Linked DNA regions of Ovis aries. The protein of the gene in region 2 purifies or fractionates together with the protein of the main gene of each other region. This does not show direct contact. Links are inferred from orthologs where the notes say so. Each region holds a gene or a part of one and is shown on either strand. Other genes may lie near its edges.

Region 1 (5,857 bases), on a different chromosome or scaffold from region 2:
ATAATTACAAGACTGGTTTTGTCTCTGTGGCCGTACCCTAGACTATAATCATAACCTATAGTCTCGCAAGGTGTGGTGTACTCCGTGTCAGTTTCACTTGGATGTGTTCATCTAGTTTCTTTGTTAGAAGTACACTGCTAGAAAGGTTACCTTCATAATAAACGTAGTCCTCGTACTCACAGCCTCTCCCTTGACTGTATGTATGTGTGTAGTCCAACACCCAGTTCATAAGATGAGGCGGGAGAAAATTGACTCTACTTCAGTAAAATTTAAAAAGAAAAGAATGAAGTGGGCGAGAAAGATATTTGATATTGACAACGAGTCAGAGAAGTGCTAGTAAGGCAGTCACTATTTAGGTAATGAAATGAGAGGCAGAGAATTTTATAACATTGTGTTTTAGGAATTCATTACAGGTACTACTGTTTAGAACAGTTTCCTTTTTATATAGCGGTTAGCCAATATTCTGAGGTTTTATTTGATAAAGTTCAAATTCACACAGTCTCTTTGTTGTGATATACTTCCTAGTGTGTTGGCTACATCACTTTTGGTTTCTTTTTTATTAGAAGCGTTAATCATTGAGAAGGTCAGCATTGAATAGTATCAATTTTGACTCTTTGTCTTCAAGACTCATGTAATGAATGACCTTGTACTGCAGCTTTCCCCTCTCCCATCAGGGAGGTATAGTTTGCCACCCAGTCTGTGGGCCTGAAAGTATCCTGACATAGGTGGCTTTCAGTGGATGGTTTACCAACGTAAGAAAACATTGATAATTTTGTTAAAATTGTACTGTATTGGAATTTTTTATTCAAATGTAGGTTTCCATGAGGGGATTTTATTTTATTTTATTTTATTTTTCCATGAAGGGATTTTAAAGCCACTGCTGAACGTGGTACTTTTTTCCTAAGTGTAGCAGGCACTCTGTGCTACCATTTCCTCCATTCCCCCTGCCCATGTTGTGACTGTAGTCCTGGAAAAGCTGAGGTATCTGTTGCTGGATAAAATGTGAATGTGTGTTACACTTTTCTGATGCCAGAGCTGTCTGGTCTGTGGTAATAGGAAACTGCATTAGGGGTTCTGGCTCAGAATCTGAGGATTTGGAAGCTTGAAGAGGCCTTGGCAGTTATCCAGGAATCTTTCTGGAGCCAGATGCTCCTGTCGGTCTGAGGTGGCCTTAGCGGGGAAATGTACAGAGGAAAGAAAGCAGCAGCCCGGGACTAAGTTAATAAGATGCTCAGGCAACAGGAGGAAGAATCTTAATTTTTGATGAAGAAGCCGACAGAGTGAGTTGTGAGTTGTTTCTTGGTCGCCTTTGGAAATGGAACCCACCTATGGTTTGAGAGTGGACAGAACAGACTATATTGCAGACAGAGTTGGTGCTATCAAATAATTGTTGAGGCTTAATGATAATCCTTAATCAGTATATCTGGAATTCTGTTTTCAGACTATTTTAAAATAGTGCATATGAAACTAAGTTGTTGCTTATAAATCATACATCTCTTAAATATTATATATATCTAATTCTCTCTTTTTTAATAAAAGCATAGTTTTTGAATATTGCCTTGGAGGACTTATCTTGAGGGTATGTATCTGCAGAACACCAGTCTCTCTTTTAACCATCCCAAAATTTCCACAGGTAAAAGAAGATATAACATTAAACTATGGAAAACTTTCACAGACTGCTTTAACTGTTTACCGATAGCAGCCATCGTGGATGAGAAAATATTCTGCTGTCATGGAGGTATGTGGGCTGATTTTAATTCCATGTAGATTTGGATTCTTCTAAAGGGTATACACTTTGACATTGATGAATTAACATTCGGATGACTTCCTCTGTGAGGTGACTCTCCTGTACTGCTGTGTTAAACCAGGAGTCCACTCTGGCACATCCAGGATCATCCGGATACAAGTCCAAAGTATGCAGTTGATTTGTTACAAAGACTTCTAGGCTCTGTAACAGTTAGTCTTGAAACTAGAGTAGAAAGTATTTTCGAATATAAAATAAACAATGTGCTATACCATAGACTCTGTAGGATACTGAAAATGTGAATATACTTTCCCTTGGACTGTTTTTGGTCTTTTCCTTTCAGAAATTTCTCTGACTTAGATGTTAAAAGTTATTTTGCTTGGTGATTGTACTTTATATGATGTAATTAAAATAGTAATGGCAAAGAGGATATCTTTTCATCTATGTCAGAAGTTAGACAACCATCAAAAAGCCAACTCGACTATATTTTAATAAAACCACTATCCTTGCCCTCCTTAGGTACTTATATACTGGTTTTGGTAGAGTTGGACATGTGATTTTTAAAGTCAGATTGAGAGCCAGTTATATCTGAGCTGGTTTGACTTTACAGTCCTTGGCCAGTGCACGTTTCCTAGAAAGCTTCATCACCTGAGTGTCTGCATCTTCTACGCCCGGTCACTACAGTGGTCATTAGGGTGCTCTGAATGTTGAAGTAACTTTCCTTGTCCTGTTTGGGCCCACACTGCCCCACAAATTAGTGCATGTAACAAGTTCCAGTGTCCCCCACCCCCCGTCCCTTTTTAACAAAAGCTAATAGGTAAGAAAAGATAACCAAAGAGTTCATGATTGAGTCTCTCTGAAGAGAAAGGGAAATATTAAAGTGCTGACTTCCCTTTTAAAATTGTGTTTTCTTCCATTTTGGTTTTTTCCCCCTCATTTAATAGGTTTATCACCAGATCTTCAATCTATGGAGCAGATTCGGCGAATTATGCGACCAACCGATGTACCAGATCAAGGTCTTCTTTGTGATCTTTTGTGGTCTGACCCCGATAAAGATGTCTTAGGCTGGGGTGAAAATGACAGAGGAGTGTCCTTCACATTTGGTGCAGAAGTGGTTGCAAAATTTCTCCATAAGCATGATTTGGATCTTATATGTAGAGCCCATCAGGTATTGATTTTGAATTTTACATGTACACTTAAGAGCATGTGTGTGAGCACAGATTCTCCTTGTTGATTTTGGTGGGTAGGTATTGCTTATTTATACAAAATGTCTCTGGAAATGACCTACAGGATATCAGGCTCAATGGGAAACTGAAGAGTGATTTTACTCACCTAAAGTTTGCACCCGTTCACATTGAAAACATTTTCTCTCCAAGGTGGTTGAAGATGGATATGAATTTTTTGCAAAGAGGCAGTTGGTCACTCTGTTTTCTGCGCCCAATTATTGTGGAGAGTTTGACAATGCAGGTGCCATGATGAGTGTGGACGAAACACTAATGTGTTCTTTTCAGGTAGAGGATGTTTTCAGCATTGTTTCCTTTTATTATGTCTGCATTTTATTGATTTTTTAAAAGTGCTAATTTCTGCCTATATTCATTTATGTGGAATAGACTGAAAAATTATTATTTTCCCTTAATTGGTGTTTGTCCTAGTTCAGTAATGAGTGAATTCCTTTTAAAAGAATGAAATGATCATAGAACTTTTGCCCCAAGTATTGAATTTAACTTTTTTCATATTATTTGAATACATTAAAATCATGAGACATTAAGTCTAAAGCTACAGTGTTAGTACCGTGTTCCGCTGAAATTAAACCACATGAAAGTAGCCCTCGCTGCCGTGCGCCAGGTGTGCCACGTGATGACTCAGTTCTCCCTCCATGTCTCTGTTTCTAAAAAACCTCTAGTGATTGACCGTGACATCATTTGGCCGTCACTTGGCACAAAAGAATCATTTACACATAAAGTCTGCAGTTTTTTTCTCATTCAATTACTATGATTAAACTTATACGACTTCAGGCTTACCCAATCATAAACAAAAACACAGCCACTGAAGTCAAGTCATCAGTTAACTGAATTAAAACAAGTGTTTTTGACTTTTTTTATTTTTAAATTATCAGGTCTTGCAACCCCCAGAGATTATGACATGATCCCCTAGGGGTTTGAGAAACACTATTCTAAAGAACTATATCCCCTGGGTCAGAAGGGATACCTAAAGATGTGACTTCAAAAAACTGTCATTTTATCCAGAGGCGAAACAGTTTGTCCAGATCATATATCATAGCGGTTTATAAGAGTATTTATTACCAAAATGTTTGTCAGCTTGGTTTGTGTTAATACGCCAGTGGAGCTTTCAGAGTTGTTGGGTCAATTTTAAACAAACTTTCTGAACAAAAGATTTGAGTGAAATGTAAGACTTGAGGTTAAGTGTATTTCCTAAAATACACTGTCTTGAATCTTTGCAGATTTTAAAGCCTGCGGAGAAAAAGAAGCCGAATGCCACAAGACCCGTCACACCTCCAAGGGGTATGATCACAAAGCAAGCAAAGAAATAGATGTCATTTTGATACTGCCTAGTTGGGACTTGTAACATATAGTACATAACCTTCATTTTTAAAACTGTAATGTGTATTGGTCAGCTTGCTCAAATAGTGTTTGTGGGGCTCCCCTTTCCATTTTTGACTTAATGAATGGTATTTGCTGGTTATAACAGCAAATGAAAGATTCTCCACTCCCAAGGAAAAATGTTTTGTTTAGTTCCCTGTTCCTTTTACAGACAACATTAATGGTGTTAAAGCTGTACACTCAGGACAGTGTCCCCTGTCTAAGGGGTGAGTGTACAACTGATCTTTTTTTAATTCAGTACAGCCCATAAATAATGTAAATGCTCATTTTCTTTAGGATATAAAGAGAGCCCTAGGGTGCTCAATCTGTACATGTTATTGTCATAAAATGCATACTGTTGGATACAAACCACTGTGAACTTTTTTGTTTCAAAGGGATTGCTTTTTTTTTTCATTGTCTTATGTACAAACTAGTTTTTATAGCTATCAACATTAGGAGTAACTTTCAACTTTGCCAGCATCACTGGTATGTATATTTAATTAAAGCACACTTTCCCCTACGGTATACTTAAAATGACGATTAAAGCCATTATTTTAAATGTTTGTGACTTTTTTCCTGAAGCCAAAGTTTCTGTTGAAATATATATTGACACTCCCCTAAGTAAGTACAAGGTGGCATGGTTGTGTACACCTGTCACCTTTATGGGGATTCAAAAACAGGTTTTTGAGTTTGAATAGCAGTTAGTAACATAGTGCTGTTTAAGCTATTAATAATTAAAGTTAATTACATTTTGTATGATTTCCATATAGTCTATTCATTAAGTAATCTTTTTACAGTTACATCAGGCCTGAACCCGTCCATTCAGAAAGCTTCAAATTATAGAAACAATACTGTTCTATACGAGTGACCGATTATGCATTCTTTGGCCTACATTCTTTATTCTGCGATGAAGTTGAGGCTTATAAGTCAAAACAAAGGAACTAACTTACTATCCACCAGTTTATACAGAACTCACAGTATATGACTTTTTTAAACTAAGATCTGTTAAAAAGAAATCTGTTTCAACAGATGACCGTGTACAATACCATGTGGTGAAAATTAATTCAGACTTATTAAATGATGAACTTGTTAAATCCTCTCAGTGTCAATTTATCAGCACAATACACACAGGAGAACTGTTGATGGCATATTGAATAGATTTTAATGAATAAATTGCTCTGGAAACCACACAGTTTCAATTTGGATTTGTCTTCCTTCAAATAGTCTGTTTTCCAAAGATGGATTGTAATATGGATGCTCATTCTTCAAATTCTTATTGGATATAACTAAGTTTCTGAAGTAGAGAGATGAGATTGAGCTATTTAGGGAGGTGTGGGACTTGGTGAGTTGTGTGACATCATCTGTATCCATATTTTTTGTCTGGGTTTATTTGAACTTGGCAATAAAATTCAAGAGCTACTTTTTGAATTATTCTAAGTCAACCACCAGTGTTTTTATACACAAACCTTTGCTCTTTTCTCTCTTCCCTAATTCATATGAAACACAATGTTGT
Region 2 (5,857 bases):
ATATTTTTATTCAACAGTGTCTGAAGCACTGCAAACATTTTAAACATATATATAAAATTTACTTCATGAAAATATTTCCATTTTTGTATGTGGTCATTCCTATGCTGGAAATACTGTGAAGGAAAGACTAAGCTTCAGATTAAAAAGAAAACCTGAATTCTCTCACCTAATTAAGCAGTGGCTAGGATGGGTTCACAATGGCAGAGCGTCCTATGACGCTCATGGAGCTGTAAATCAGCAATGCGTGGAGTCTGGCGACATGCACACGAAGTCATTATCACACGGTATGTAATGTAATTCAGTCACAGGATAAGTATTAATAAAAAATATTAAAACATCAACATTCACTCATTAATTGATTACATGGAATAAATAAACTAAGTCAGTCACATATTTCTCTTCACTCTTAAGTCACGGTTTTATTTACGTATGCACACTGTATAATACTTTCCTAATGCTCTCAAAATGCTACAGATAAAAATGAAGGCTTGGCATTACAGCTGCTGGACAAAAACGTCAACACTGTGGGTGTGTGAAGACACAGTTTCTTTGTTCTTTAGCATCAGTGCACAGGGTATGGCTCCAAGTGGTATGCAACTTAGGACAGAAAAAAGATGCGGTGGCTTGTGGAACAGATCCTCCGTTCATCATTGGCACAAAATCAAAGAAGGAATCTTCACCGTCCTTGGTACCTTTCCTGGATCTCTACCCTGAAGACAGGTAATGTTATACATAGATGCCTTCAGGATTAAAACCAGATGAGATAGGATTCTGTAGAATACGCAGGTTACTGGGGAGCTGCCGAGAGGAGCCAGGCCGCTTCAGAGACCCGGACTGGAATGGTGCCTCTAAACAAGAAACAGAGAACGTCATTTGATGTTTGCACCAGTGACCTGGATATGAGAAATCAGAACTTTCCCTGTTCTCAAGAACCAAGTGATACAGAGTAATGACTGCACCCCCATAGGTTCTGGGTGAGAGGACAGGCTGAGTCTGCTTGACACTCTCAGTTGATTAAATAGTTTCTAGTCATCTGAGGAGTTCATGATCTTTTGAAAAAGGTGAGCACTGTGCCTCTCTTTCTGGGTTGTTCATATCATACGCATAGGCAGATTTAGAACTGTCTTTTAAATACCAGCACAAATTAATAATGAAGACTTTTAGGAGAGGAAGAAGGGGCCTTAGGAACAAAGAGAAGTTACCACTCAATTTAATGGACCATGACTGACACATATTTCAGGACAAGTTTGCAAGGAAACAGTTTAAAATGAGTGATAGGATATTTACCCATCTAAGTAAATAAATAATGTAAACATTATTGATTCTTCCCAGAAAAAATTTCTTTAAGTGACCCAAGAATCAGTTTTGAGTAGTAGGAGAATGTTGCAATCAAATGCAAGCAGTTTATTCAAAGTTAACAGTGAAAGTCAAGGTTTTAAAAAGCGGTTTCTCAAAGCTTACCCCTTTCTGTGTCTGCATGCAAGGCCTCCACTCCAATGGGCTCCGCTGGCAGGACGGTGACTTTCGTCCCTGTCTGCTGGATAAACTGCTGGAGGTTGACTTGCCGCAGCTCTTTGGTCAACTGCTCCAATTCTTGTTCTCTGTCCTAGACGGAAGTTAAATTTTTTCTAAAATTTGAGGATTCATTATTGGCCAGCTACAGACATCCTGGTCACTGTCCATCTGCTACAGGGTTAAAGGTGGGATGCTCACTTTCACAAGAGTGCTTGTAACAAACCTGGTTTATATTGACATACTGGGCTGAGGAGGTCAAGCTCACTCTGTGGCATGGGCCAAAAAATAAATAAAAGACAACAGCTTCTTCAGTTTGTGCTTTTAAATGTCATGCCTTCCTCTGCTAAGAGTACACTATGTACCTGATGAAATAAATCTATGTCTACAGACTTTCATGAATAAAAGACTGGATTCCATCTATCCCAGTGTTTACAGCAATCTTGGTAAGCTCTTCATAACTATACTTCCCCATATCTACTTCATAATAAGTGTTAGTCAATCAGTTGTATCTGACTCTTTGTGACCCCATGGTTTGTAGCCTATCAGGCTCCCCTGTTCATGGAATTCTGCAGGCAAGAATACTGGAATGGGCTGCCATTTCCTTCTCCAGGGGATCTTCCTGACCCAGGGACTGAGCCCAGGTATTGCCTGCATTGCAGGCAGACTCCTTACCAACTGAGCCACCAGGGAAGCCCACTACTTCACAATATGCAGCAAAATTAACAGTCATTTGGTTCATGAGATTCGGGCTCCTTTTCATGAAATGCTTTACTGAGATTTATGTTAGAGCACGAGGAAGGCAAGATTTCCACTATGGGGTTTTTAAATCCTTGACAAGCAGGTCTGTGAACTGAAGAGCTCTAAAGTAAGGAGACCAAGTTTGGATGGCCAGAAAGCTCCAAAAGCAAGGAGAGGCATTCTGTTATTCAAATGGACTTTCTTCTCTTTCTCTCTTAGGGCACTGTAAGGAAAAGCAGGAGGGCCTTATCTAAGCTGGGTGAGTCTGAAGGATCTGGTAAGGATAGGGAAGAGAAAAGAGAAAGGAGTGGTTGTTTTTTGCTACTTTGAGTGTAGGGGGTACTTGGAGATATCTGAGTAATTTGATTCTCAGATACTTTTCACAGGAAGTGGAGTTTACTAATAACAATTTTCATAAATTAGTATGTAATAGCAAGGCAATATCATTACCAAATGTACCCTTAAGTGTCTAAATAAAGGGTTGACAGAGGATGAGAAGGTTGTATGGCATCACCGACTCAATGGATGTGAGTTTGAGCAAACTCCGGGAGATGGTGAAGGACAGGGAAGCCTGGCGTGCTACAGCCCATGGGGTTGCGAAAGAGTCGAACACGACTGAGCAACTGAACAGAACAGTACAATACTGACCAGTCATAGGTTAGCAACCTTCTATTACTGAGAAATTCCTGATTTTCCAAATTTCTGTGGTAGCTCTGCCTCTTACCGTAATGAGTGGCAGAGACAGGAAATCGTATCAGTTCCTCCTGAAACCTCAGCTTTCTCTGCTTGTGGAACTGTCCCTCCTCTAAAGCATCTCTTCTCAAACTCCAATGTGCACAGGTGCTATTTGGAGATGCTGTTACTACACACAGCCTGAATTTCTAACCACTGTGCCCTGAAACCTCATGGTTCACTCTCTGATCCATGATTACAGAGCTTCTAAACCAGCACTGCCCAATACAGGAGCCCCTGAACAGATGTGCTACTAGAGCACTTGAAAAGAGGCCAAATATGACTAAAACAGAAATTTAACTTTATTTAATATTTTTAAACAGCTTTATTGAGTATTATTTAACTTCAGTTTAAACGTAAGTAGGGACTTCCCTGGCGCTGCAGTGGTTAAGTGTGGTTTCTGTTCCTGGTATGCCTCCTGACTGAAACACTAAAAATAAACAAATAAATAACTAAAACAGAAGCAACACTGTAACAAACTCAAAAAGGACTTTAAAAATGGTCCACATACCCCCCCCCCCCAAATCTTTTAAAAAATGTGAAGTGAACATTTGATAATCAATTGTGTCTCATTTCAGCTGTTAGATACCTCTTTGCAACTCCCGTAACATTTACTACCACATTGTCTTTCCAAGAATAGGCATCCAAGAAATATAAGCTGAGTGATCATGGTCTGAGTGTGAAATATAAATGTTCCTGTATGCGGTTTAGAGATGGGAAAAAGTCAGGGAGAAACCTGCCCCTCTGGAGAGGAGAGAAGACGTGCTTAGCAACAAAGGAGAGGCGATTAGACATGCAGACAGCTAGCCACACAGCCTTTGTGAACCACTTCTCGGTGATCAGCTTTGGTTACCCTACCGTTAAAAGGAGGAGGTCAGATTCACGACCTCATCATTAGCGTCCACACCTGCTCGGAGGTTCTCATCTCCTGTCTCCAATTACCTAGTGCTGCTGCTGCTGCTGCTAAGTCACTTCAGTCGTGTCCGACTCTGTGTGACCCCATAGACAGCAGCCCACCAGGCTCCGCCGTCCCTGGGATTCTCCAGGCAAGAGTACTGGAGTGGGGTGCCATTGCCTTCTCCTCCTAGTGCTGCTATTACCCCAGTTAAGAAAGCTGCTTTCATGGAAAAGGACCTGTGGCTCCAGCTCTCATCTTTGGTTTAGTCTCCTATTTAGCATTGTCGTAAGTCACAGAAATTCTAAGGAACTTATAAACCAAGGTAGGTTTCTAACTCTAAATGTAAGGGAAAATGAATAATCATTAAAGAAGATGCCGGAAGATATTCTTTTAAACAGATTAAAAAAATTCTTTTTATAAAAAGTTCTTACCTGTAATCGTTTGGTGGCTTGGCCAAGAGATCTTTCCACAGCTTTAATACCATTTTCCAGCCTTAGACTCTGCTGGCCTTGAATGTCAATTTCCCCTCTGACCTTACCGATCTTGCCTTTAACCTCTTCTTCATTTACTTGTGCCTCTTGGACTTCCCGTTGCAATTTTTCTGCTTCAAGACCACTTTCCATAGTCTGAATTTGAGCCAAATAGTCCTTTAACTTGCTTTCACATTCTGTTATTTTCTGTTTTATTTCTTGAAGTTGATCTTTCAGCTGTTTTTCATTTTCCTGTTCAATCTGTAATTCATTTTCCCAAAACTCTTCCTCTTCAATTTCTACATCATTTCTTTTGATCTTTTGCTCCAGGCGGACAATTTCCTCTTCAAGGTTAGAATTATATTTTTGCTCCCAAAATCGTATTTCTATTTCATTTGATTCTAGCTCTTTCTCAATGGATTGGAGCTTCTCGGTCTGCAAACGGATCAGCTTCTTCAATTCATCTGCTGTTGTTTTGCAGTTATTCAGCACCTTTTGCTTAAATTCAGTTTCTTTACCTTTTCCAAATATGTCCATTAATCCTTTGGCACCTCCTGTAAATGTTAATGATTTCCTTTTAGGTTCTCTCCTTTTGATTGTTTTGTCAATCTGAGGCCTCAGTTTAGCTAAGGGGGGCAAACTCTGCCTGTACAAAGTTCTTTCAGGAATTCGAGCCACACTATCCGATGTGGGTCGCTCACTGAGAGATGGCCCTGTGCGCCGTAAGATCAGCTGTACATCACTAGCATACTGCCCCCACTTGTTTAAAGATATGATAGGATTTTCATGAGGTGCTAAGTGCCTTTCAGTATCTCTCCATTTTTCTATAAGCGTGTACCTTCCAGTTCGACCTAGATAAAAAAGACAAAAATAAATTTTCAAGATGGGATATGTAATAGCTAAAATAATGCCTCCAAACAGATGACCTATTGGATAATTGTGTCTTCTCAATAAGCATCACATTCCAGTCTGTGATGCCTTTAAAACTTCACTCGAAGATACTGAACTCCTTAAGATATGTAACACATAAAATATGGGATGTGAATTGCATATACCCTTCAGACTTGCTTTAGAAAATCATCTTTATACTTTAAACCTCAAAGAGAATCTTAACCTATCTTCCCGTCTGACTGCCCAGGCCTTGTCTGGGGCAAGACGTCCTGCTGAAACTAAGGAGATCACTAGAGAGTCCTGCTGGAAGCCAGGACCTGGTTCCAGGAACCAGGAAGAACTTCAGAACTCGAGCAAATGTCTCCTTGGTGAATCCTGCTGATTTCCCTGCACTTCAGGACTTGGGAAGCTTGGGGCCCCTGTTTCTCCTCCTGAAGGGGGACATGGAGCCAATGGAGGGCCTGCTACCCAGCTAACAGGCACAGGACAGGCCTTTCCTCTGCCCTCACCTTCCTGTATACCTGTGGCAAATAAAAAAAAAAAATCACTGCAATGAAAACAACCCTTCAAAACAATTTCATATAAAAAGTGGGACCTGAAGAGAAATCCTGTT
Region 3 (5,857 bases), on a different chromosome or scaffold from region 2:
CCCAATTCCTGCTTCTCTCCATAGAAATCATCTAACAGAGATCACAGGGTTGGCCTGGGACAGAGCCAAGGCAAGAATGAGAATGTGGTAACCCTGAGTTAGATTTGCATTACGTTCACGCGCACTATCTAACGTGATGGGAGGGTTTATAAGCCCTATTTTCAGATGAGAAAATTTAAGACTCAGAGGGCATAAACTGCTGCCAAGAAGTCACAACTAATAAATGCTGTCAGCCAAGACGGCCCCAGGTCTGCCGATGATTCCTAGCCCTTTCTAAGACCCATACGGGTGGTTTCCAACAGCAGCATCACAGTTGTTTGTCTTCCTACAGCCCCTCCTCCCAATCTCTTCCCAATAGCATCACTTTTTAATGTTTTGCACAGTGAGTAGGTCCATAAAATATTTATTTTAATAAAAAAAGTTTTGATTGTTTAAAAAAATCAAGTTTGAAAACCCACTCACCTAAGTATTGTATTACAGTTTGAACCTCATCCTAGTTGAAGCAGTGGTTCTCTAAGTAGGATTCCATCCCAGATCAGCACCCCTTGACTACTAGTCGGAAGTTCCAAACCTCAGCTCTACTGAATCAGAACTTCTCAAGGCTGAAATGCTTTGTATTTCTTCTAGGTACTATTATTACTATGTTTTAGCTCATAAACTCATGGGCTAATGCCCCCATGAACACTTCTTTTCTTTCCCATGCCATGTGGCATGCAGGATCTGAGTCCCCGTACCCCCTGCAGTGGAAGCACGGCATCCTAACCACTGGGTCACCAGGGAAGTCCCAGGAACATTTCTTAAATGAAACAGATGTTTGTTACTACATCTTACAAAACATCACCATGAATACATACATAGATATTTCACAATCACATAGATGGTTATATATGTATTCACAGTCAGTGTCGGAAACAAACTCTTTCTCAGAGCCATTTCACCTCAAAGCTCTCTCGACATGCAATCATCAGCCTCTCTCACTGCACGTGACTTTGGGAGCTGTCTGAGCTCCCCAGGGAGCTTGTTTTGATTACTTGCCAGGAAATTTTAATGCGATGAATAAAAGGATATTCTTTTGGGAATAACTGATAACTAAACAATATTTTCATCAGGTCCTATTTTAATTCTAATTTATGAAGCTTTTATCCCTTATCTTGCCCATAAAATCAACATCTTGTCTTCATTCCTACTGGCAGTACCATCCTCCTCTGACTTAACCTAAGCAAGCCATAAACCTCACCTCCCCACAGGAAATACAGGGGACGGAAAGTCAAATGACACCCCAAGGAAACAACCAGACAAGTCCAGAAGTTGAGACCTTAATAACACAACTGCACTGATTTCTTTTTTTTGAATGCACAGTATCTAGTATCTAGATGCAATGTATGATACTGAAGTGGACCCTGCGTCTGGAGAGAAATTTTATTTAAAAAACAAAAAGCTGGGACAATTGAAGAATCTGTCTTATCATGACAGAATTAATTAACAGAAAATTTCCTGGAAGTGATCAGTATGTGACCCAGGAATTTAAAATGTTTGTCTACATGGTCAAGATGTATATAGAAAATCAGATGTTTTAATAAACAGTACTACAAAATAGGAAAGCAGCTACACACCCAACAATTAGAAATTGAGGACATATAATCCATGAAATACTGCACCGCAATTTAAATGCTGTGCACAGAACACCATGAAAGGTAGCATCTCATCTTTAGTCTGAAGTAGAATCTGCAGCCACAGACAATGGGAAAGAACTGCTAAACTCAATTGGCCACCCTTCTGATTTTCCATAAGAAACATATATGTATAATTTCATAATTTTATCACCTTAAGTAACAAGTGAATACATCCCTTCCTTTCCCCTTCCTTCTTTTCTTGTTCTCAATAATGGAATCACCTTCTAACTCATCTCACTGCTTCCAGGCTCCTGTCTTAATCCTCTCTACATCCTGAGACTGCATTCATCTTCACAAAACACCTATTTCATCGTGTCCCTGCCCTGGGATGAGTCACTTCCAGTGACTCACTACATCCTAACCACTAAAACCCAACGTCCTCGGCCAAGCACTCAACACTCTCCAAGCCTGCTTTTCCGGACTCTCTGTGGATCCTACCCTAGGCACCCAGAGCCAAGCCCGAGACAGAGCAGGTGCTCAGTAGACACTGGTCCCTTCCCCTCCACACAGCTGAGAGCATTCACCCCACAATTCCAGTGACCCAGGCTGTCCTTCCCTCTCCCACAGAGATCACAACCACCTCCCCGTGAAATGCCCTCCGACCCCAAGGTGTTCATCCAGACCACAGAGGTGTCACATGATAGCCTGTTTCCTTGCACACGCATGGAGATACTTTTTTATCTCTAGATAAGTTCCCCAAATGCAGGGATCATCTTCTGCTCTTTAGCACAAAACAATGAACAAAACACCATGCTGTTGCACAAATAATGTATAAAATACATATAATAAATAACCCAATTGGACAAAAAAGAAATTTCAACAAGACTTTCTCGGAAAACTAGAATCCACGAAGAGGCTTATGCTCCCCTAACCACCAAAAGAAACCCCATGGACACGGGCGCCTGTTGGGATCAACGCTCCCTTTATCCTGTATCCTCTGACTTCAGGCAGAGCTTGCTCAAGAACCTCAGTGTGACTATCCTGGCTGACACTCCAGATGGCCTGAGCTGTGGGGAAAGAAGCCTTCCAGGTACTTTATCCTCCCAACGTAAAGGAACCCAATTTCCTGCAGAAACACCTTCATGCTCACGCGCAGAGCTGCATCCCCAGCACCGCTGGCCTGGAGGACCAGGCAGAAGTTGAGTTTATGCTGGTCACACCTGCTTACAACTTAGGAAAAGGAGAGCCAGACAACAGCTTACTGAGGCCAGCCACGTTCTCCCCGATTACGTCCCAGGGAGGGTCAGGACGCCCAGGGCAGACGGTGGGCAGTACTGTCACCTGATAGGCCAGAGGCACCAGGAAAGGGCGTGAGACAGTAAATGAGGCTGAGACCCGAAAAACAATATGGACCTACAGGAGTGTCCTCCCCAGCTCCAAGCCTCTCCTTCCAGGCCTGGGGACCACCAGAGAGCTGAAGGTGGGCGCCTGCACCAGGCCTCCCTGGGCCTCCCTAACCCTCCCGACTCCACGAGGGGCCAGCATGGGGCCACTCATGCACAGCAATGGTTTTCAGGACATTCATTCGAGGTAAATGCTTCCGGCTCCATGTGCAGGTGTGAGGCCAGGGGAGCAGGAAACCCAACCTGTCTGAGATCATGGAAGAGAAAGGGCATTTCAGCTCAGATGTCACTCTGACTTCTCAGTGACTGCTCTGCTCTTTTGGACGCACTGCTTCTTGCACAAGGATCAAATGGATTTGTTAGGAGGACACACGAGGAAGGGAAAATCTGATCAGGATAGAGTCTTGTCTTTTCTTTCTTTCATTCTTTTTTTTTTTTTTTTCACTTAGAATGGGAAAAAATAACAACGAAAAATATGTAACCCAAGTCTACACGTATATAGACTAGACTATCTTCAGTTTAAGGAAGTAATGTTTTACCCCCAGTGTCACCTATAAAGACATATAGATTTAAGAAGCATGTCGGCACCTGTAAGTGCTGGATTCCAAGCTGCAGGGAAAAAAGCAAAAATCCCATAACCATTAAAGGGCTTTCCAGGTGGCACTAGTGGTAAAGAATCTGCCTGCCAATGCAAGAGACATAAGAGACCCCTGGGTGGGGAAGATCCCCTGGAGGACAGGGCAACCCACTCCAGTATTCTTGCCTGGAGAATGCTATGGACAGAGGAGCCTGTCAGGCTACAGCCCATAAGGTTGCAAAGAGTCGGACACAACTGAAGCAACTTAGCACACACATACAACCATTAAAACCAGGCCTCAGACCCCTCAGGGCAGAGACCCATCCTGGGGCACCAGCAGCCCACAGCACCTGTACACATCAGGCAACAACTGAGATCTTCTAAAGTGAACTAAGATGCTGAATGTTTTTCTACTGTTTATAAAGAAATAACCAACCTAAGAGATCCTCAAGGTTCTTACCCAGCTTCACAAAAGAAAAACCTCCCCTCTCCTATTTACTCCCCAACCAGCCAACAAGAGAGGCTGACTCAGACAAAAAGGAATTTCTCCGACAGAAAGAAAGCCTCCCTGAAACATGATAAACTCTAATAGTGCAAAATTCTAAAACAAACCAACCAAATTTGACCCCAAAGCAGCTCTCGACACCCCCATCCTATGACTTAATCCAAAAACCACCTCCCATCTTTCTTTAAAGATGTTATCTCAAGTTGCTTAAAAATCCACAATTAATTCCTTACATCTGGCAGTACCCAACTGGACTGAATCAGAAGAATGACTCGTGAACTAACAGAGGAGACTGTGAGGAAACGGTGGGTTTTGATAGTTAGATAATTTGCACCTACCTGGGGTCTCCTTTTTAGAAGCCTGGGCACACAGCCATCCAGCCGCACTCTGTGGCCCCTACACTCAAACTCAGCATAGCCCCCGCTGCGCAGGGTCCGGCGAGGAAGGCCACAGCACCACCACATCACAGGGGTGGCCCCAAGATGGGGGACAGCAGATGCTGGTACTCAGAACGTGGCTCCAACTGCAGGCACTCGGGAGGTGGAAAGGCCTGTCCCAGTGTTTCCTGGGACTGCTGATGCCAGAGGTGGAGCACCCTCCTCCTCCCAGGACACTCCCAGCATGGGTCCAGGGCGGGAGCTATGATGGTATCTTCAAAAGATGTGCCAGAGACCAGAGTCCTCTCCAAGTCTCATTACCTTGGACATATGTGCAGGCGAGGAACCTGCATCAGCTTTTAGGATGATTTTCAGCAGAGAAGAGAGCGACAGACAGACAAAGCACACAGTCACCACGAACACCGAGACCCGGGCCAGTGAATGCACGGGGTCTCCTTGTCACTCGGACTTGCTATAGCTCGCTGGGCCCCTCCTGGAAACCCCGGGGAAAGCTCACCCAAATGTCAGTGCCTGCTAACATCTACCCTGCACAGCAGCAGCCTCCAGTCTCATTTTGTCTCCTGCCCTGTCTCTCCACGGCACTCACAACAGTGTCTGGAAGATGTGCATGTTTACAGTATCACCCTAATCAAGCCTCAGGACCTGATTCACACACTCAAGGAGCATCTACTCGATGGCAGGCACTGAACAGACACAGGGTTACAGCAGCAAATGGTCCCTAGCCCCAAGTCACTTAAACACAGCCCCACACCCTAAAACTCATCGGTGTTACTGGTGACCCAATACCAAAGGTCAATTTGTATTCCTTTGCTAACTCATAGGTTTCCAAGTGTGTTCGCACTTAAAATTTTTCCTTGAAAATCCCTAGTGTGACTCACAAACTTATCTGGCTTTATCTGGTCAATTTCAAATTGATTTGAAATGGGGGAATTTGAAAGAAAGGGCTTCAAGATACCTTATGAAATATGTGAGCAGATTATAGAGGTTAACGCCATATCGTTTCCTAATCCCTTAGATACACAGTTAGTTTGCTGTCCTTGTAAAGTTTTCCGTTATGAGGCATTTGAAATTTAGTTAACTGTGCCTTCAATGTACTACTTCTAAGAAAATATAGTGCACAGTGTTCCCAAAGAAACAAAACAAAATGCTAAGCTGTGCAATCGAAGCACTAAAACAGGAAATATAGCAGGCACAGACCCAACATATTCTGCATCATACCTAAAGTCTCCGATAAAAATCCTGCATGGATGCAAAGAAACAAATTAGCTGTTTGGGAACTCAGGCAAAACCTAATTATACAACTAGTAATTAAAGCATGAAATGGACTACCTCAAACAACAGTAAGACATGTCACTATAAAC

The links. Proteins that work in one complex are often made in the same cells at the same time.
Region 1: the proteins of RASSF8 (region 2) and PPP1CC purify together in Homo sapiens (affinity purification with mass spectrometry; 3 studies listed by BioGRID and IntAct, counting the BioPlex papers as one, with this or other methods). This does not show direct contact. The link is inferred for Ovis aries from reciprocal best matches to the Homo sapiens genes RASSF8 and PPP1CC.
Region 3: the proteins of RASSF8 (region 2) and PARD3 purify together in Homo sapiens (affinity purification with mass spectrometry; 4 studies listed by BioGRID and IntAct, counting the BioPlex papers as one, with this or other methods). This does not show direct contact. The link is inferred for Ovis aries from reciprocal best matches to the Homo sapiens genes RASSF8 and PARD3.

What each region holds. Positions count from the first base shown.
Region 1 is NC_056070.1:54,595,860-54,601,716, reverse strand, and holds the end of PPP1CC (serine/threonine-protein phosphatase PP1-gamma catalytic subunit), read left to right. Parts: intron 1-1,633; coding exon 1,634-1,738; intron 1,739-2,688; coding exon 2,689-2,912; intron 2,913-3,120; coding exon 3,121-3,255; intron 3,256-4,205; coding exon 4,206-4,266; intron 4,267-5,141; coding exon 5,142-5,212; 3' UTR 5,213-5,532; downstream 5,533-5,857. UniProt on the Homo sapiens protein: Protein phosphatase that associates with over 200 regulatory proteins to form highly specific holoenzymes which dephosphorylate hundreds of biological targets.
Region 2 is NC_056056.1:189,476,796-189,482,652, forward strand, and holds part of RASSF8 (ras association domain-containing protein 8), read right to left. Parts: intron 5,205-5,857; coding exon 4,315-5,204; intron 1,607-4,314; coding exon 1,462-1,606; intron 849-1,461; coding exon 727-848; 3' UTR 1-726.
Region 3 is NC_056066.1:17,898,112-17,903,968, reverse strand, and holds part of PARD3 (partitioning defective 3 homolog), read right to left. Parts: 5' UTR 4,563-5,857; coding exon 4,437-4,562; intron 1-4,436. UniProt on the Homo sapiens protein: Adapter protein involved in asymmetrical cell division and cell polarization processes. Seems to play a central role in the formation of epithelial tight junctions. Targets the phosphatase PTEN to cell junctions.